Tamandua tetradactyla: one gene and its partner. The protein of the gene in region 2 purifies or fractionates together with the protein of the main gene of each other region. This does not show direct contact. Links are inferred from orthologs where the notes say so. Each region holds a gene or a part of one and is shown on either strand. Other genes may lie near its edges.

What was found. Proteins that work in one complex are often made in the same cells at the same time.
Region 1: the proteins of ZC3H18 (region 2) and RBBP6 purify together in Homo sapiens (affinity purification with mass spectrometry; 3 studies listed by BioGRID and IntAct, counting the BioPlex papers as one, with this or other methods). This does not show direct contact. The link is inferred for Tamandua tetradactyla from reciprocal best matches to the Homo sapiens genes ZC3H18 and RBBP6.

What each region holds. Positions count from the first base shown.
Region 1 is NC_135349.1:32,519,166-32,529,220, reverse strand, and holds the start of RBBP6 (E3 ubiquitin-protein ligase RBBP6), read left to right. Parts: upstream 1-5,907; 5' UTR 5,908-7,039; coding exon 7,040-7,205; intron 7,206-10,055. UniProt on the Homo sapiens protein: E3 ubiquitin-protein ligase which promotes ubiquitination of YBX1, leading to its degradation by the proteasome.
Region 2 is NC_135342.1:82,904,320-82,915,066, forward strand, and holds the start of ZC3H18 (zinc finger CCCH domain-containing protein 18), read left to right. Parts: upstream 1-6,934; 5' UTR 6,935-7,133; intron 7,134-7,512; 5' UTR 7,513-7,639; intron 7,640-8,631; exon of another isoform or gene 8,632-8,851; intron 8,852-8,894; exon of another isoform or gene 8,895-10,747.

The sequences.
Region 1 (10,055 bases), on a different chromosome or scaffold from region 2:
AATTGAGAAAACCTTCTGGCTCAAAAGGGGGAGAGCGAAATGAGACAAAAGAAAGTGTCAATGGCTGAGAGATTTCAAACAGAGTCGAGAGGTTATCCTGGAGGTTATTCTTATGCATTAAATAGATGTCACCTTTTTAGTTAAGGTGTAATGGAGAGGTTGGAGGGAACTTCCTGAAAATGTAGAGCTGTGTTCCAGTAGCCATGGTTCTTGAAGATGACTGTATAATGATATAGCTTTCTCAACGGGACTGTGTGATTGTGAAAAACCTTGTGTCTGATGCTCCTTTTAGCTATGGTATGGACACTAGATGAGTAAAACATATGAATTAAAAATTAATAAATAATAGAGGGAACAAATGTTAAAATTAAAAAATATATATATTGGGTAGGTGGAAATACTAGTGATCAATGAGAGAGAGGGGTAAGGGATAAGGAATATATGAGGTTTTTCTTTTTATTTTTTCTAGAGTGATACAAATGTTCTAAAAAATGATCATGTTGATAAATATACAACTATGTGATGATACTGTGAGCCATTGATTGTATACCATGTATGCAATGTTTGTATGTTAAGAATATATGTGCTTGTATGTTATTTTATCAATAAAAATTTTTAAAAAAATAAAATTATACACCATGATCAAATGGGCTTTATCCCAGGTGTGCAACATAAGAAAATCAATTAATGTAAAACAGCACATTAACAAAACAAAGGGAAAAAACACATGATAACTTCTGTTGACACAGAGAATTCATTTGTCAAAATCCAGCATCCTCTCTTGACCTCAACACTTAACAAAAATAGGAATAGAAAAACTTCCTTAACATGATAAAGGGCATATATGAAAAATCCACAGCTAACATCATACCCAAAGGTGAAAGATCAAAAGCTTTTCATCTAAGATCCCGAGCAAGACAAGCATGCACATTATCACCACTATTATTCAACATTGTACTGGAAGTTCTAACCAGAGGAATTAGGTAAGAAAGAAAAATAAAATGCATCCAAATTGGAAAGGTAGATGTAAAACTTTCCTTATTTGTAGATGGCATGATCCTATGTATAGCAAATACTGAAAATTCCACAACAAAGCTTTTAAAGCTAATAGACAATTCAGCAAAGTGGAAGGGTACAAGATGAACACACAAAAATCAGCAGTATATCTATACACTAGTAATGAGCAAGATGAGAAGGAAATCAAGGTAATAATTCCATTTACAATAGCAACTAAAAGAATCAAATAACTAGGAATAAATCTACCCAAGGATGTAAATGACTTGTACACAGAAAACTACAAAAACATTGCTAAAAGAAATCAAATAAGAACTAAATAAATGGAAGGACATTCTATGTTCATGGATTAGATGACTAAATATCATTAAGATGTCAGTTCTATCCAAAGCAATGTATAGATCCAATGAATTTCCAATCAAATTCTAACAATTGCAGAAATGGAAAAGTCAATCAAAATTTATATGGAAGGGTAAGGGCCTTGAATAGCTAAAGCCACTTTGAAGACGTAGAATGAAGTTGGAAGACTTACATTTCCTGATCTAAAACTTATTACAAAGCCACAGTGTTCTAGTTTGCTAGCTGCTGGAATGCAATATACCAGAAATAGAATGGCTTTTAAAAGGGGTAATTTAATAAGTTGCTAGTTTACAGTTCTAAGGCCAAGAAAATGTCCCAATTAAAACAAGTCTACAGAAATGTCCAATCAAAGGCATCCAGGGAAAGATACCTTGGTTCAAGAAGGCCAATGAAGTTCGGGGTTTCTCTCTCAAGTGAGAAGGCACACCGTGAACACAATCAGGGCTTCTCTCTCAGCTGGAAGGGCACGTGGTGAACACCGCGTCATCTGTTAGCTTTCTCTCCTGATTTCCGGTTTCATGACGCTCCCTGGGAGGCGTTTTCCTTCTTCATCTCCAGAGGTTGCTGACTTGTGGACTCTTTGCTTCATGCTGCTGCAGCATTCTCTGCTCTCTCTGAATCTCTCATGCTCCAAAAATATTTCCTCTTTTATAGGACTCCAGTAAACCAATCAAGACCCACCCAAATGGGTGGAGACACATCTCCCCTAATCCAGTTTAACAACCACTTTTGATTAGGTTATATCTCCAGGGAGATGATCTAATTACATACAGTATTGAATAGGGATTATTCTGCTTCTATGAAATGGGGTTTTGATTAAAACATGGCTTTTCTAGGGTACACACATCCTTTCAAACCAGCACACACAGTAAGCAAAACATTGTGGAACTAGCACGAGGACAGACATACAGACCAATGGAACAGAATTGACAACTCAGGAATCAATCCTCACATTTATGGCCATCTAATTTTTGACATGGCAGCAAAGACCACTCTATTGGGAAAGAATAGTTTCTTCAACAGATGGTGTTGGGAAAACTGGATCTCTATTTGCAAAAAAAAAAGAAGAAGAAGGACCCCCCCTACCGCATACCCTATACAAAATTAACTCAAAATGGAACAAAGACCTTATTATAAGACATAAACTCTCAAATTTTTAGGATAAATAATAGGCAAGCACCTTCAGGACCTTGTTTTAAGCAATAGTTTCTTGGACTTGATACCCAAAGCATAAGTAACAAAAGAAATAGATATGTGGGGTCTCATGAAAATTAAAAACTTTTGATCCTCAAAGGATTTTATCATGAAAGTAAAATGACAACCTACAAAATGGGAGAAAATACCTGGAATCCCATCTCTGATAAAGGATTACTATACAGTACGTATAATGAAATCCTCCAACTTAACAACAAAAGGTAAACAATCCAATTTAAAAATGGACAAAAGACTTGAACAGACATCTCTCCAAAGTAGATGTTTCAAGGGTTAGAAAGCACATGAAAAGATACCCAACATCATTAGCTTTCAGGAAGATCCAAATCAAAAGCACAATGAGATGCCATTTCACACCCATTAGAATTACTGCTATTAACAAAATGAGAAATAACAAGTGTTGGAGAGGATGCAAAGAAATCTGGACACTCATTCATTGCTGGTGGGAATGTAAAATGGCGCAGCCACTGTGGAAGACATTTTGGTGATTCCACAGCAAACTAAGTACAGAATTACCACATGACCCGACACTTCCACTTCTAGGTATATACCCCAAAACGTTGAAAGCAGGGATTTGAATAAATATTTGCACACTGGGTCATAGCAGCATTATTCAAATTCAAATTTCCAAAGGATGGAAGTGACTGAAATGTCCATCGGCCACCGAATGGATAAATAAAATGTGGTATATACCTACAATGGAATATCATTCAGCCAAAGAAGGACTAAGCAACAACATGGAAGAACCTTGAAGACATCATGTTGAGTTAAGTAAGCCAGACACAAAGGGACAAGTATTGTATGATCTCACTGATTTAAAATAATTTGAATAAGCAAACTCACATATTCTATATTCATATAGAGTCAAAATCTAGAGTATAGATTATCATGGGATGGGATGGGGATAGAGAATAGGAAGTTAAGGCTTAAAAAGAGCAGGATTTCTGTCTGGAATGATGGAAATGTTAATCATCGTGACGGTAGCACAACCTGTTAATGCAATTAACAGCACTGAAATATACATCTGAATGTGATTTAAAGGGGAAATTTTAGATTGTATAAATGGAATCAGAATAATATTAAAAAGAAAAAACTCCGGGCGGGCCACGGTGGCTCAGCAGGTAAGAATGCTTGACTGCCATGCCTGAGGACCCAGGTTCGATTCCCGGTGCCTGCCCATGAAAAAAAAAAAAGAAAGAAAAAACTCCTTGGAACTACACTGTGAACTCTAATTAAACCATGGACGATAGTTAATAGTAGGATTATAAAAATATGGTACCAATTGTAACAAATGTTCCACTCAATGCAAGATGTTGATAATAGGGTGATATATAGGAAAGCGATTTTTTTTTTTTTTAAACATGGTCAGGTACTGGGAATTGAACCCGGGTCTCCGGCCAGAACTCTGCCTGCTGAGCCATCATGGCCCACCCAGTAATAGGGTGATATATGGTAATCCGGTATTTTGTGCATGAGTGTTCTGTAAAACCCACAACCTCTCTAATAAAGAAAAAAATTAGGTAAAAGGGGATTAGTCAAAGACTAATACAGATTCACCACTTCGGAGGTGTGAATATCAATATAATTTATTCTTGTGTTTTTTCTTTCTTTAGATGTTATTAATCCTCTTACACTCTCATCGAGATTTTTCAAGGAAACCAATCATTCTGAACTGTGGGTGAAAAAATTTTTGTGAGTTACCAAAGAAAATGAGTGGAAACTTGCTGTATATGAAAAACACTGATGTGTATGGTTCAGCTAAATCATATTTGCATCTCTGGGGCTACGCTTGTAAAAATCTTACCCTTGTTGTAAAAATCTTATTGCCATGGTATTTCTATAGATCACATAAAAATGTATTTAGTTATTTAACAAATCTTTATTGGGCGTCTGCTATATCCAAGCACTGTTCTTGGAGCTGGGGACACAGCATAATCAAAAGAGAAATTCTTGCTCTCAACTGGGACCGGGAAACAATTAAAAAATAAATGTATACTATGTTAGTTAGTGATGAATGTTAAGCAGGGAAGAAAATACGGGTAAAGAGCTGGCGAATGCTGGCAGGGTTACCTAGATGAAAAACGTGGCCAGGAAGGCTTTACTGACAAGATGATGATTGGTTTAAATCGAGTTCAGTAAGAATTTAGTGTGTATTCAGGAAGTCTCTGGCAACTCTGCCACTTCCTGACTGTGTGATCTTGTACAGCAGTGACTAACTTTTCTGAGCCCGACTGGCCTGTAAAATTCAGAGAGGATAGAGGAAATGCGTTGTAAACGATAGTTATTATTGTGGATTATGAATATAGTTTATATTATGAATTTTATGAATGCAGTATGACCGCCCCATGCCCCAAGAAAAGAGATTCCAACTCATTGGGGTGGTGGTGGATGTTCTTTTGGAATAGTTCCTGCCCTTTGTAATTCGAAATGGGATTGAGACCCTGTCACACAGCTGGCATTGCTTTCTGCGAATTCAGAAAGTGCATCATTGCTAGCTTTAGTTTCCTCATCAATAAACTGGAAATAATGGTAGTCCTGACCACTTAGGGTTTTTGTTATTGTTGCAAAATTGACATTCATTGAGTCATTTTTGACGCGTATTGAACCACATGCCAGGCTTGGTTCCAAACAATGTAAATCTATTCATTCGTTTAAACCATAACAATCCAAGAAACCAAGTACTATTTTTATCAGCATTTTATGGTTAGGGAAACTGAGACACAGAGGGGTTAAATCTAGAGTCGGAGCTCTATGGTTCCAACTCAGAGAATTTGACTCCAGAACCTGGGAATATTATAAAGTGCTTATCCCAGTGCCTAGCTCATACTTAGAGCTCAATAAATCTTCGTTCTTCTGGATGTTATCAGTTCTAGGCTGCGGCTGGGATCAGAATTTCTATTTCGGAAGGGCTTGGGGTAGCCAGTTTGTTGGAAGTGGGAGGTAGGGAGTGTTTACATAGCAACCATAGCTTACTGCATAGTAACCATATGTTTACTTAAATTGGGGAGTTTGGGAGAGTTGATCGGAACTGTGGGGAAGGGACAGTTAGCCGGCCACCCCTTGGCACCCCACTGTTCAGTGGACATTAGCACAGCAGAAGCTGAAATCTGAACTCTCCCCCTAGAACCACCCTATGACCCGGTCCTTTTTCCCTCTAAAGCCTCTCCCCTCCCTTTAGAGGCGGATGGTTTCTTCCGTTCCTCGGTCTAGTTCAGGTTCCGCGCTCCTGAGTCACAAAGCGCCGGAGTCACGTGGGAGGGCCGGTGCGCTTTGTGACGTCGACGGCTCCGCCTCTCGGCCCGCCTATCCGCTCACGCCAGCCCCACCTCGCGCGCGCCGCCCGTGCAATCCTTGCCTAAGAGACCCCGGAGTCGGGCGCTCGCCCGAAGCCAGGCCGCGTCCGCCATAGTGCCTGGCTTGGAGGTGTCGCCGACGCTTGGTGAGGGCCGGAGAGCGGCAGGGGGGCAAAAAAAAAAAAAGAAAAAAAGGGAGCCAGCAAAGCCCCTTGCCGTTGCCCGGCGGTTTCCGGCCATATTCTGGCGGTTCTGGGCCTAAAGGCGACGGAAGCGAAAGGCGAGAGAAGCTCGGAGCACACGGCGAGAGGAAGCGTCAGGGAGACTCGGCGGCGTCCCCGGGGTCCGCCAGAGCCACCCGGCTACTGGGCTGGGGCCGGGGGTGGTGAGGAAGTGCTTCCAGGCCCAGTTGAGGCCTAGTACCGGCTTTGTGTCTAAGGCGGCGGCGGCGGCGGCGGCGCACGGCGGCGGGGGGGAGGTGGAGCCGGGGGCGGCCTGCAGAAAGGCCTCTCCTCCGCCGACCGCGCTTTTTTTGGCCTAGACCGCGGGGCCGCCTGTGGTCTGCCGGCAGCAGGAGAAAGGGGTTTGTGTGGGGGCTGGGGGCCTGGGCCTGGGGAAGTCGACGCCAGTCGTCCGGAAGCCAGGAGGAGGCGAAAGGCCGCTCGTGGACTCCGGGCCTAGGCCCTCTCCCCTCAACCTTCTCCCGGGGCCTGGGTCACCCCATTCCACGGAAAGAGACCAACCGGGAGGTGCGGCCACGCCATGGACCCCTGACCCCGCGGGGGTCACTCGGACTTTAACGTGTGGACTGACCGCTACTGACTGCACCGCCTACCCCCGTCTCCTGCCGGCCCTTAGCATGAGCGAGGGGGACCCAGCCGGGTGACATTGTGCCCGTTGGCGGATTCTCGATTTCCCCTTTTCCAGGTCCTCGTCTCCCTCCTCCCACATGAAGTGATTCTGAGTAACAGGGGGGGGTTCTGGATTATTGTTTTACGAACCCCTGCTTGTGGTTGGGGGTTATTTAATCCAAGACCTTAGGGTCCTTCCGTGTCTTTTGAGTGTTTTGTGTGTGTACATTTTTGCTCTTAAGTTTATAAATATACATATAGTGAGAGTGTCCACGTCTCCTCGCTGAACCTTAGGAATCCTTTGGCACCATGTCCTGTGTGCATTATAAATTTTCCTCTAAACTCAACTATGATACCGTCACCTTTGATGGGCTCCACATCTCCCTCTGCGATTTAAAGAAGCAGATTATGGGGAGAGAGAAGCTGAAAGCTGCCGACTGCGACCTGCAGATCACCAACGCGCAAACGAAAGAAGGTAAGAGCCACATGGGCTCCAGGTATTTGCTGGTTGAAGATAAATAGTAGTAGTAAGGTGTCTGGCAGAAGACTAACCGCCATTATGTCTCTGTTCGTTCTAATACTTTCCATGCAACTTTAATTGATAGCCAAGGGTTACAGCATCCCTACTTGGAGATTAACTGGTTTATTTAATTTGATTTCTGTGTAATTAGGTCATTTGTAACAGGCTCATCCAAAAACGTGAAAGTTTGATTATTTACTCTTTTTTTTTAATGAGAATGGGTGGAGGGGCGGGTATCCAGAGTTTGGTTCTTGCCTTGTGCTGTAACTTTTTTTTCCATCGAAAGAAGGTTGAAAGAGAGCATATGCAAGGCTTGTTATTTGTTAAAGCAGCAATAAAGATACTTCTCTAATTTTGCTTTTGGGGAATAATGGCAAATTGATGTCCTCCCTTTATCCCGCCCCTTACCCTTATTTTGGAGTTATTTTTGCGAATTTAATCCACCCACTCTTTAATGTTGTAATTGATTTTGGAACTTGATAGGTTCTTATGTGACAGGTTTTGTATTGTGTATAAATTACGGAATTAGTAATGCAGTAATTAGATAGTTGAACTCTTAGTTCATCATACTACTCTTAAAATTTAGCAGTTGATTAAAGATCAAAAGAACTGGTTTTTCTTTTTTAAAGTAGTAATTGCTGTACTTTACATGACTATGTTAGGAGAATATTGACAGATAGTAGGTTGCTACCATATGAGTACAAACAAACCACTGGCTGGAATCTTTAAGTTCTTTCTCCTTTTTGAAACTATTTTATGATACTGGAAATTGAATAATAGATGAAACAGTGTGCTGATGGCCTTTTCAGACTCTTGACTGTGAACTTGTTTTGGTTTCTTTTTCTCAGTACAGTAGTTTACAGTAGGTCAATGTTGAGTTTTATTGATGGAATGAGAATGAATGAAGTGAAGTTCTAACTAGGTTAGATTTATTGATCACTAAACTTGGTGTAAGATGTGACATTTGTTCATTTAGTTGATATGGGAGGACCCCCATCTTTAGCATGTAATGTGGTGTTGGGTAGAGTACATCTTTTCACGTAGAAGAGCAGCTTTCCGTTTCCAGACATAATTTAAAGAACAGCAATACCGGCATCATGACTCAGAACTGTTCATTAGGAAGAACTTTATTTACTTAAATGATTACATGTGAAAGAATAAACCCTCCTTGCCTCCACCATCAACTGCCGTTTTGTTTTTTTTTAAACAGATGTTATATCTAAAGAGCACTTCATATGAAGCTTTGGTCATTGTAATTATGTGTAGCATCCTTCTACTTAAGAAAAGGAGAGATTGTGGTCATGAACATTGAGAGAGCTTTTTTTAACATGTTACTTGAGAAAATACCTAAAGAGAAATATTCTTATTAAGCCCAGCAAATCATCCCTTAAGTATTGTAGTTACATTTCATTTAGGCCATATTGATATATTAATGAGCACTTATGAATGAGAGAAAGAAAACATTAATAATATTAATACAAGAGGATATAAAGGCAGTTTTAATGATTATGTACTATGCAGGTTTCATATTTTATTGGAGCATTACACAACTGAATCATTAAATGCTAGGCTTTGTCCTTTTCCATCTAACAGTTGAATACAACTTGAATAGACTGTGTGGAATAAGTTTTGTTTGAAGGAATTCTTGTCCATCAGCTTTGCTTTGTAACTCTGTTTTTTCTCATCCAAGAAGTATAAATATGTGCTAAGTAACTCAAACCTTGAAAGCCAGGGAAGTGCTTTGCTCAACAGCATATTTTCTTGTATACATCGTGTAAACTGTCCTTTATTGGAGAAACCTCTGGCAGTCAATCTAGATGTTGTTTAGGAGAAGGAACTGGGAGAGAAAAAAGTGTGCATTTTATGTAGTCCTCAAATTAAGGAAGGAAAAGATATTGGTACTGCAGAAGATAGTCACCTAATGAGTTTTATGGGAAATACTATCCAGTGTCACAAGGCTTTTGGCGTAATTCCGCTTGGTTTTAGCACCAAATCCAGTGAATTAAAGGGTGCATCATAATTAGGAGATTGTTTAGAACACTGAATTAGATCACTTTAATTTGTTGTGAATAAATGCTTTAAATCACTTTACCATTTTTCTATAGAATATTTCTTATAGTTTTTGAATCAGTTAAATCCTGATTAACGAGATTAAAATGCTTCAATCAGAATTTCATGTTTTAAAGTTTTTAACGTGTTTATTTAAAAACTCTTTCAAAAATGAATCCCAAATTTATCTTTGTTATGTATGAAAAACTTGTTTTCTAGTCTCCTTTTCTGCTGAGCACCTCCCCCCCTAAACACACACACACGAACACATTTTTATTCTGAACTTTGTGAGAGATGTGGAAGTTGAGTATGAACAATTTTTTGGCAGTCCTTGTTATCTTTCTGGCTTTCTCCATTTCCCAAATTTATCTTGTTATTTATTCCATGCATGAACATTCATTCATGTTTTTGGATCAAAAATTATACTGGTGAGAAGAAATGGTCTTATAAAGCTAAAGGCTTTTTGTTAAAGAGGTATTGTAAGTATGAAGATACCTTTAGGAAAGAGATGTTTACTAAATCATTGTAGTTCAGGTACATTAAAAGGTCACCTAGATAATCTGTTGAGCATGTTAGTTGACACAGTGCTGTGTTGATCAAATTAATAAATTGTCTTGGACAGCGTGGAACATGTTTGAAAGTTGTTAGGTATTCAGAAAGTTCCTGTCAGGTGTTTGACACCAGATTTTGTCTCTACAATTAGCCTTTATTTTTCTGCATGAGCAGGCACCAGGAATTGAACCTGGGTCTCTGGCA
Region 2 (10,747 bases):
GACAGGGGCCGGGGTGGCAGAGGGAGGGAAAGGAGACACACACACCCCTGCCACCCTGGGCTTCTCCCAGGGAGCCTGCTGGGCTGAGGGAGGGAGCAGGGCAGGGACAGCCCAGCCCAACCAGCGGCCACACTGCCCTTCGGCCTGGACCCCGCTCCTTGCTGGCTCCTCGCCGGCCGACAGGTGCAGGGAGCAGTAGGAAGCTTCTGGTCGTCAACCCGGGCCCTGGTGACAGCCCCTGGCCACCCGCCTCCTGGAGAGGCTCGGGAGCAGCAGGGGCTTTGGGGCCCTGAAGGCAGGAGGACGGGGCAGAGGGCCTCCCTGTGGCCACGGGTCCCGTTCTCGGTCGGGACAAAGGGAACCAGAGGCTGTGGGACCGGCTGACCTGGGGCTCCTGGGCCTTCTGTCGCTGGGGTCGCAGGGACCAGATGTGGCCCTCGGCGACAGGAGAGGATGGCCGCGCTGAGGGGGAGGGGGCCCAGCTGCATGTGGGTGGAGGGAGGGGACCCCCACTTTGGCTCTCCGGCCTCCTCCCAAGTGGGCCCGGGAGAGGGAGGCGGTGGGCGGCCCCCGAGGCAGGAGAGCGGCCGGGAGAGAGGGGGACGCGGATCTGATCTAGGTGAAGGGGCTGGGCTGGGGGCAGCCACCAGCCCTGTCTCTGGGGGACCTCACCCCACCCTCCCTGCCATGCTGTCCTGAGCACTTGGGCCGCAGGACTTCACAGCTCAGAAAATCCCTGAGGCACGAGGTGGAGACGGTCCAGGGCACGAGGGAGGCTTGAGATGGCCCAAGGCACTGTGCTTGAAAGCGTCCTCCACATGCGGCAGCAGGAGTCACCACTAGGCGGAGGGACATGGCGGGGCCCCGAAGTGCCGGCTGCCCACAGGACGCACCAAGGCCCTGGGGCCGATGGGCATTCTCTCTCCCTCCCTTCAGTCAAGGCACGATCGCAGACCGTGGCCGGTTCGCACCCCAGTTCAGCACTGGGATTCGCGGTCCCCACCTGGGCGCTGCAGACTGCACACCTGGGAGGCAGCAGTCACCCCGTCACCTCTGAAGCTTTGTCTTGTGGGCGGGATGTATTCTGTCTTGACTGGGTGCACTGTGGGCTGCTGGGCGCGGGGGGCTAGGGGACTGGGGGCCACGCGTGTCCTGCCCCACACCGGCTGCCGTGACGCCTGCCTACCAGGCCCTCAGCCACGTGCTGTTTCCCGCGCTCTGCTCCTGCCACCGTGGTCACATGGAGACGTGTTCCTCCAGGCAGCACAGGCCCCGCTGCGGCCCCCCCAAACCTGGGTGCGCTCGCCAGCCAGCGCCGCCTGCATCAGGGTGGAGGGACAGGGCCCAGAGAGGAGGTGGGAGCGGCCAGATCCCCCGTGGGGCACACGTCCTCGGGTCAGGGTCACAGCTGCACCCAGCCCCCACCCCTGCGAGCTGCCCTCGGGGTCGGCAGACCTCTGCCCTGCACAGCGCACGGCCCAGCTGGGCGATCCTGGAGGGGAAAGAAACGAAACCCCACCGGTTGGTGGAACTTGGAAATCTGGTTTCCTCCCCTAAACTGCTGGCCACCATGGACTTTTCACAGGCTCCGGTGGCTGCTCCCTGCCTCCTGTCCAGGGTTAGCCCCCCAGGGTGGGCGAGGGCAGGCGGCGCGGGGAGCACGCGATGGGGGCACCTGGAAGGCCACCTCCCCGACGGCCTTCCATCCCATATGCCCTGCGTGCGGTGTGCACGTGTCAAACGCTGGGGGGCAGGGGAGGCCCCCAAAGTACTGTGTGGTTTTAGGCCCTGGGATAGCCACCCTCTGGTTTCAAGGATGCAGCACGGTCCCACCTCCTCCCTTCCCGGTTGTGTGAGCCTTAGCGGCCATGGGAAGGGCCTTCCCAGAGCTAGAGGGACAAGGGTAGCTTTAGCAGACCCCAGCAGTCAGGAATTGGAACTGGGAGAGTCTCCGGGGATGAGAACACAAGGCAGAGGGTTTCAGCGAGAGCTGGAGCCACAGCAACCCCCTGGGGCCGAGAGGAGAGCGGTGCCGTGTCCCTGCTCTTCCTTCTGCCCATTCTCCGACATGCCACCAACACCCCCCCACACACCGGCCGCCATGCCCAGCCCGTCAGGACGTCACCCACCTGCAGTGCAAGCAGGGCAGGGTGGGGGTGGGTTTGAGAAGGGGCAGCAGTCACGAGGAGCTCACCTCCGCTGGCACGAGGTCACAAGGGTCCCTCGCTAAGCCTGTGAGGTGGGTCCCGGCACTACCCCATTGTAGAGACGAGGAGGCTGGGGCCCGAGGAGATGGGTGGCCACACACACCACACAGCCGGTTCCCTGGAAGGCAGGGGCCAAATCCGAGGCCCGGTTCTCAGCCGAGGTGGGGGTGGGCCGATGGGGGGTCAGTCTTGCTAAGAGACCCACAGCAGGCTCTCGCACTGGGAGCTGCCTGTCTTTTCTTTTCTTTCTCTTTAAGTATGTAGTCCAAAAATCTAAGTCTTATAACCAAACCTTAGTTTCCCAAACTATTGATACACACAACAGGGACACGTTTCAAAAGCCTTGTGCTGAGTGAGAGAAGCCAGACACAAAGCCCACATTCACTCGATGCTCCTGGAAAGACAAACGGGGTCTGGGGGGCAGGAGGCAAGTGCCAGGGGCACGGGGGAGCTTTCCAAGCCACGGAAACGTCATATATCCTGACTGCAGTGGCAACTGCAGGGCGCACACACACACACACACATAATATATATATATATATTTTGTGTGTGTGTGTGTGAAAACTCATCAAGCTGTACAGGTAAAAGGTATGCATCTCAGCAAATGTAAACTATAACTCAATAATATTTTTTTTAAAATGGTTGTGCCCCTCTTCACCCCCATTTCCCAGTCCTAAGAGACAATCATTTTCAGCTCTTTTGTCTCTTCTGACATCTTTCGCATCTCCAGTAACATATTCATCCTGCTACTTCATGACTTTTTAAGATTAATAAACTGTCTTTTTTACAGCAGTTGGGAGGGTGGCAGAGAGCACGAAGTGCTTCTCCTGTCATTCCACCTTACACTGGGGTGGCATGCTCGTTACACACGCTGAGCTGACAGCACAAGTCTCCTGACAGCCCGCAGTCCCCGGGCTCCTGCACGCGCTGCACGGGTCTGTGGGGTTCTGACAAATGCACAATGTCACGTGTCCCCCACCACCGCTTCAAGGAGAAAGCTTCCACCGCCTAAAAACCAGGTTAAAGAACATCGGTTCACTTTCTATCCCAGATCCCAAGAGGAAGATTTAGCTCTCTCACACACCTGAATTTTCCCAGGCTTCCATCCACCAAATAAAAGTACTTTTAAATTAAAATAACTTTCTGTTAAATATTTTAGAACACGCAAAAATAAGATGTACTGAATAATAAAATGAACCCCAGCTTTCATTCCAACGCCTGGAAACATGTGAATGCTTCCCCTGCACCCCCGGATGCCGTCCTCCTTCCCACCCTAGAATAACCTGTCCTGGATTTCGGTGTCTGCCTGGGTCTTGTGTTTTTTAGTTTTACAATCTGTGTGTACAGCTAAACAAAAGTGTTTAGTTTTTCCTTTTTCTTTTTTTTCACTGAGGTCTAACTTACATCTTGTAAGGTGTATAAATATAAATGTGCGCTGATAGATTTTATAAAAGTTCGTCTGGTCATCACACAGATTTCATTCCCGTCCCTCCCGAAGGCAGCCACTGCTACGGCCACTGTTGTCACGGATGACCTTGTAGAAATGAACTGTGGTGAGTGTGAGCACACAAGCGTGTGTCTGGCTTCTTTTGCTCAATATAATGCCTCTGAGAGTCAGCCAAGTACTGTGCAGAGACCATGTGTTCCTTTCCCTTGCTCTACGGTATTCCATCGTGTTCTCCATCACAGCTCTTTATCCAGGCTTTTGATGCACTCTGGGTTCTTAAACTTTGGAGTATAACAGACGGTGCTGCCCCAAGCATGCCTTCTGCAGGACACATGAGCTCATCTGTCCTGGGAATCTCCCCAAACTAGAATCGTGGGTTGGGGGCTGCACAGGGCTTAGCTTTAGTAAATACCATGTGGTTTTCCAAAGTGTTTGCACCAACTTGCACTCCCACTGGCAGTGCCAGGTCCCATTTACACTCCTGGTGCCCTCACGACAGATACTTGACATTTTAACTTTTCTATAAATGTCTGTTTTTTCTGTCACTTGCTTTTTTGGCACAGCAATATCTCTAAGCTTCATCTGTGTTAACATACGTACTTAGAATTCTTACATTAAAAGATAGTTACTGGGTGGGCCATGGTGGCTCAGCAGGCAAGAATGCTTGCCTGCTATGCCCGAGGACCCAGGTTCGATTCCCGGTGCCTGCCCATGTTAAAAAAAAAAAAAAAAAAAAAAAGATAGTTACTCATTCACTCATTGACAGACATTTGGGTTATTTGCTTTACGTTTTCTTTGTTCTTTCAATGACTACTAAAACATCTTCTGAGAACCCTGATTTGAGTCTCCCGATGCCCACGGGCAGGGGCTGTCACCCATGGGGGAAGGGAGGCGCCAGCATCTCCTGGAAACCTGTTAAAGCCAAAGCAGCTGGACCCCACCCCCAGATTTCCTGACTCAGCAGGCCAGGGTGGGGCCTGAGAAAGTGCATTTGTAACAGATCCCCAGGGGAGGCTGCTCCCGGATCAGGGGCCCCACTCTAAAGCTGGGGCACCCATCCGAGTGGGACTGCTGCTCAAGGGGAGTGCATCTTCACCGTTTTTCAACAGGCCTGCTTATTTTCTGAAGCTGTAGCCCCGTGGGGCTTAGCACACCTTTTTGTTAAATTCAGTCAGGTAAAACTCTCTCCCAGCTGAGTAATGCAGCTATTTTATATGGTAATGAACAGCCTTGGTGCCTGGAAGGTACCTGCATGGCAGACACCAGGCCTGGTGGCACAGAGAACTTGAGGACACCCTGCCTGCTGGTCAGGTAGTTGGCTCGGTGCTGGTAACGGGGCCCCCAGATGACGAGGGCTGAAAGGAATCAGATGTCCACGCCTCTCTTCCACAACAGAGAAGCAGGTGGGAGACAGCCCGGCTCGGTGCTGGAGGCTCAGGCATGGGGCCCTGGCCACCTGGGGTGACATCCAGAGTGACAAGGTATTCGACAGCTTCCATGTCCCCACGCGAAACAAGAAGAGAGTGGGGAGCACTGGGCACAGGGCCCCTTGAATGAACAGCCCCACCACTGTTCGCCGATGTCACCACAACCCCTCCTGCTGTCGGCGAACCTCCATGCCTGTCACCTGCTTTGCAGCTGTGGACAGTCCCATTTTACAGAGGAAACAGCTTCAGCAGCTGGTGCTGGCAAGAGGTTCTGAGGGGGGGCGCCAGCCCTGGTCCCCAGGTCCTCTGACTGGAGCTCAGCAGTGCAGCCCGTGGGACTTAGATCTGGAGAGGCCGGAGCCCTGAGCCCACCTCTGAAGTCTTCTCAGGATCTCCAAACTCCTCTGCACATGGTTTCCAGACTTGGCAAACATTCTCATCGGCAGCTCGGTGCCTGCCCAGGAGCCATGGGGTAAATGCCGCAGTGCCGCCCTCGAGTAGTTCACAGACTGGCTGGGAGGACAGACGAGGAGCAGGACAATACGATTTGTCCTGGCTGCTGCCCCAACGGGCACACACTGGTGCTGGAGACTCACCCAGGTGGCACCAGGCTCAGCCTCTTTTGGGGGTGGCAGGAGGGCTTCTGGGAGGTCCATCCCAGGTGAGACCTGGAGAAGAGTTAAAGATAGCCAGGTGAAGGAGAAAGGCGGGGACAGTGGTCCAAGCAGCAGGAATGGCAGGTGTGCAGACCTGGGGCAAAGCCAAGGGGGAGAAGGAAATATGAGGCTGGGAGGACTGGGACTGGCAGGGCCAGATGACAGAGTCTGAAGGGTCAGGCCGAGGAACTGGGGTTGCATCTCTGCGGCAGGGGTGCTCTGGAGGGTGCTGGAGTGGGGTGGTGGGAACCAGCCTGAAATTTAGAAAGGGGTTCTCTGGCTGCTTTCAGTTGCAGGAATTGGGGGGCAGGGAGGGGAAGCTGTGGCATTAATCTTGGCAAGTGGAGAGGACAGCATGAACCATACCAGGGCAGGGAGAGCAGTGAAAAGGGGGATAATGCAAGACTCCAGAGTTCAGGAGGCAGAACTGACCGGGGGCTCCTCTCCCTCTCTTCCCCTCCCCAAACCCTTCTGCCCAACCTCTCCCAGCCCCTTCTCTCTCCCCTCCCACACCTCCTGGCAGCTCCTACCTGCACACCCTCTCCTTCCTGCCGTCCGTCCACAGCCAGTGGTTTCAGTATGTTCACGAAGTTGGGCAGCCTTCACCACTGATGGTATTTCGGGAACATTTTAACCCCCCCCGCGAAAAGAAACCCTGTGCCCATCCGCGCCCCCAGCCCTGGCAGCCATGGCTCTGGCTCCCGCGTCCCTGGCTTGCTGCTCTGGGCAGCGCCATCCTTGCGCTCGCTCATCGGCTCCCTTCATCCGCGGGCCGCTTCCGAGGTCCCCCCCGCGGCGCGGCGCCCCCCCGGGGCGGGAGGACACCCACACCCAACGCCCCAAGGCGCAGAGGGGGCGCCCCGGGCCTCGCCGCGGTACCGGGGACCCTCATGGGCGCTGATGACACTCGCGACCCTGAGGGCTGCGAAAGCAGCGAGTTCTCCGTGCAAACAGGGTCACCCGCGCTCGGCTCTGCAGTTCACCCCCACGCACGTTTCCGGCCTCACGGGGGAGAGCGGGGGGCCAGCCCCCCTGCGCAGGCGCGCTCCCACCCGCCCCTCCGCGCAGGCGCACGAAGGACGGCCGCGCGCACGCGCGGCGCAGAAGCCCGCCCCCGGCGGGGCGGGGCGCGTCGACGGCTCTGGCGCCGCGCGGAGGCCGGAAGGAAGGCGGGAGGGAGGGGCGAGCGGAGGAAGCCCGCCTGCCCGCAGGTCGGCCGTCGCGGCCTGATGACGTCGCACAATGGCCGGCCCCCGCGGGTAGTGGAGCCCGTTTGTTCCGCCCGCGTCGCGCCCGAAGCCGGAGCCTGTGAGGAGCGGAAGGACTGTGGGACGTCGTCTCCGCGCCGCCGCGACTCTAGCGGAGCCGTGGCCCCCGTCTCCGCGCTCGCGCTGAGGTAAGCGAGGGCCGGGCGGGCGGCGGCGGTGGGAAGGAGGAGGCCGCCTCGTCGGCGGCCGGGCGGAGAACGTGGCGACGGCGGGAGCTGAGGCCGGGACCTTCCGCGCGGCCGCCGCCGTAGAGCGTTTCCGGCTGTGCCCTGCGGCCGTGGGCAGCCGCGGACGAAGCGTGGCCCTCGGGTGCCCCGGCAGGGGGGTCGCGGAGCCTGGCACGATCCCGCCTCTGTCCGCCGCGAGCGCGGCCCCGCGAGGGCCCCGGAACGCCCCCCGAGTCGGAGCTCCGCGCGAGCTGCGTCCGCGCCCCGCCGAGGGGTTACGTTCCTGAAGCTGTCATTTCTCTTCCGGGCCGTTCGCCGGGCACGTTTGCCGCCCACGAAGCGGGTTTGAGAGGCGCGCGGGCTCGCCCTCCGGAGTAGGCCAGCCCGGGGTGCTGGTGGGCGCTCCCGGGACTGTGAGCTCTTTGAACCGCCTGGAGCTTGGTCCTTCGCCTTCAGAGTGAGCACAGGTGAGACGCTCTCCGGTCCTTTAGGAACATGTAACAACTTCCTTGTGCCTTTGATTCGGAGCCCAAAGGGTGCTGGGCGACTGGTGTAAACTAATTGCGGTTATGATACTGGGAAAACCCAAGACTTCAAGACTAATGCAGTCTTTCGCCTGCTGAAACCAAAGTTGTTACTGATTATTTAAGGCAGCTGAGTTTGCCTGGGCAGAGTGGTTGATCATTGTAAATGAGCTTTGTTTTACAAAAACTCATTTGTAAAAGTAAGTCAGTCTTCTGATCCGTTTGGGGGGAAAGGAATAAGAGGGCATTTGACATCTGAGGTACTATTTGGGGCTTAAGGATGGCTCTCATCCTTTCTCCTTGGAGACTCTTTTCTGTCATTTTGCCTGTGGCGTTCCGAGCTCTGGGTGGGTAGTGTTTGCCTGATAGTGTTACGGTCTGTGCATATGAGTAGACTCCAGCCTCTGCAACCACTCAAATGTGTCCCAAAGGTTGGAGCCCTTCTCCAGTTTTAGAGGGAATGGCTCAGATGTTCTAAGAAAGCTTTATGGAGTTACTTCAGAGAGCATACAGGTAAGCTGTGACCTTGCTCCTAGTTAAAGAGCTTTTTTACTTTATCACAGTTACACACTGTCTCGAGATGGGTATTTCCTTGTTGTGCCTTTGATGGTCAGCTTAATAAATTCAGAGGATGGTATCTGTCACCACTGTAGGGGCAGATTTCCTTTAGATATTAAAAGTCTATCAAGTTATAAATTGGAATTTTAACCAGACATACCAGAACTCAGGCACTCAAATAGAAACCATTCTGTTAAAAGTAGTGTCCCAAAGGTTATGTCACTGATGCTCCTTTGCCAAAACCTCTTTAGAACTCCTGTTTTGTTAGTAAATATATAAGCCATGTGAGAAAAACCATTTCATCCAGTTTATCATTCAAACACATATGTTTGACCAAAATTATCTTACCTGGCTCAATGACTTACCTCACTCTCCAGACCAGGCCCTGAATGACTTCTGACTGTTTCTCAAAGTAGTCCGCTTTGAGAGGAGGAAGATTTGCTGCCACTGAAGAAAGACCAGAGTATGTTCTGCAGATTCTGAAGATTCTTCTAAAAGAGAAGTTCCTAACACATTCTGTGCTTCAACAGTGCCATTGGGTTCAGAGCATGGTCTACTAGAGTGACAGCTGGAAAAGGAGACTGTGCCTGAGTTCTGGTATCATTCTTTTTCAAATTAGTCATTTAAATTTCTTGCTTGTATGCAACAGGTAGTTTCTTAAGTAATAGTTTGGTCATTTACTGATAAATATCAAGCACCATATGTCATAAGGCAAGAGACCCTGTAATGGAAGGCAAGTTCATAGTCCTGTGGACCAGAAGATTAAATAATTAGCTCTAAACCTTGCCACAAATCCATAAGGATGGGGTGATTGTTGTAAAAAGACTAAATTGAGCAAAAATTGTGAACGTGGGGGTCAGTTAAGACTTGTCCAGAGGATCGTGTTTCATTTGCTGCACTTGGTAGGCCATGTATTTACCTCCCAAGCATCCTCACCTTCCAGGCACCCCAATGTGGCGAATGCACTCGCATATTTGCCAAACTGAATTAATCTCTAAAGCAGATGAAGACACGGAAGTCCAGAGAGGGCCTGGGAGTCAAACCGCCTGATTCCAAGGAAGTGCCTTCTTTCTGTGCCACGTGGTATGGCTCAGGTCGCTTCTGACACACAGGTAGATCCATTGGCAGAAAGACCAGGTAGATCCATTGCCAGATGGCCATGACTACCTGGTCTGGCGAGTTCATGCACTTTCCCCCAGATCCTGATGCTAGGAAGTGGAAAAGCTGGGAGGCTGTTTCTTCTGACCCATGTGCCCTATAAGAAAACAATACTTTAAAAGGTAAACGTCCCATTGTTTACTTGTCCACTGCATTGGTTCAGGTACTTGAAGGTAGGCACTTGTTTTCTTTTATTTCTTACTCTAGGAATTAATTTCAAGTCTGTCAGAATATACAAAGATATTTGGTCGAACTTAATCATGACCAAAACCGAAGTGCAAGTCTGCCTTGCCCTGGCCCCTGGACAGGAAGTCGCCTGCTTGGAGCAGTTTGTGCTCTGCATCCCTCTGGAAAGGATAGCATGCTGCAAAGCTGTGGCGGAGCTGAGCAGGTGCCCTCTGCAGACTTATCGATTGTTTATTTTAAACTTGTTTGAGAAGACATTAAATTTTCCATAACAAGTGTTTTAAGAGGTAACTTTGTTTCCAGGTTTGCCCTTAGACTATAATAATGAGAATCAAAATTTGTCACGTTTCAAGTGGGATTATAAAAGACTCTGGAACCGGTTGAGCTTTGGCTGACTGCTTCCTGGGTACCAAGCAGATGATAGTACTAGGGAGATGAACAACTCTGTGCTTTTATGTAGCTGTTTTTATATACAACGTAATAGAAACTGTATGTTAAACATAGGCTTAGGATGTTAGGTGCAAAGGAAACTCTTTTGTTTACTTTGTTAAAATTAGAAAGTAAGAATAGCAGGGGGAAAGGTCACTTAGTGTGCCACTAGCCTTGACTGTTGGTCTCCAACACTTAGAAACATGGCAGCCGTAGCATGGCCTCCTCCATCCTCATCGGTCTGCCTCAGGCTCCTGGGAAATGGAGTGGGGGCAGGATTTCTGCCCATTTCTCATTTTCAATAAAGAACCTTATTTTAGGATCAACCTTTGAGTAATTCCTTCAAATAGTTCCACCTCTGGATGCTAACTGGAGAGTGTAGTTGGAAAACTGAAAAGTGAATCATTTTAAGATCTGTTTTAGATTGGCTGGTGTGTAAACTAGTATTCTTGCTAACCATTTCGTTTCCGTGGAGTAACAGGTTTTAAGTTACTTGTCCTGATTTATGTTCAGTTTTAATTCCATTAACAGCAAAGAAGAAAGTTAAGTCTAGATAAAATCCACTCCTGATACTGTGCCTTTTTAAAAGTATTCCTGCATGCGTACACATGCACAACTGCAGCTGCAGACCGGATGGCTTGTCTCACCTGTAAACTTGCGGTCATCTTGGGACAGATAAATTTTTTCCGGATATCTCTGAGACACCAAGCAGCATGACTA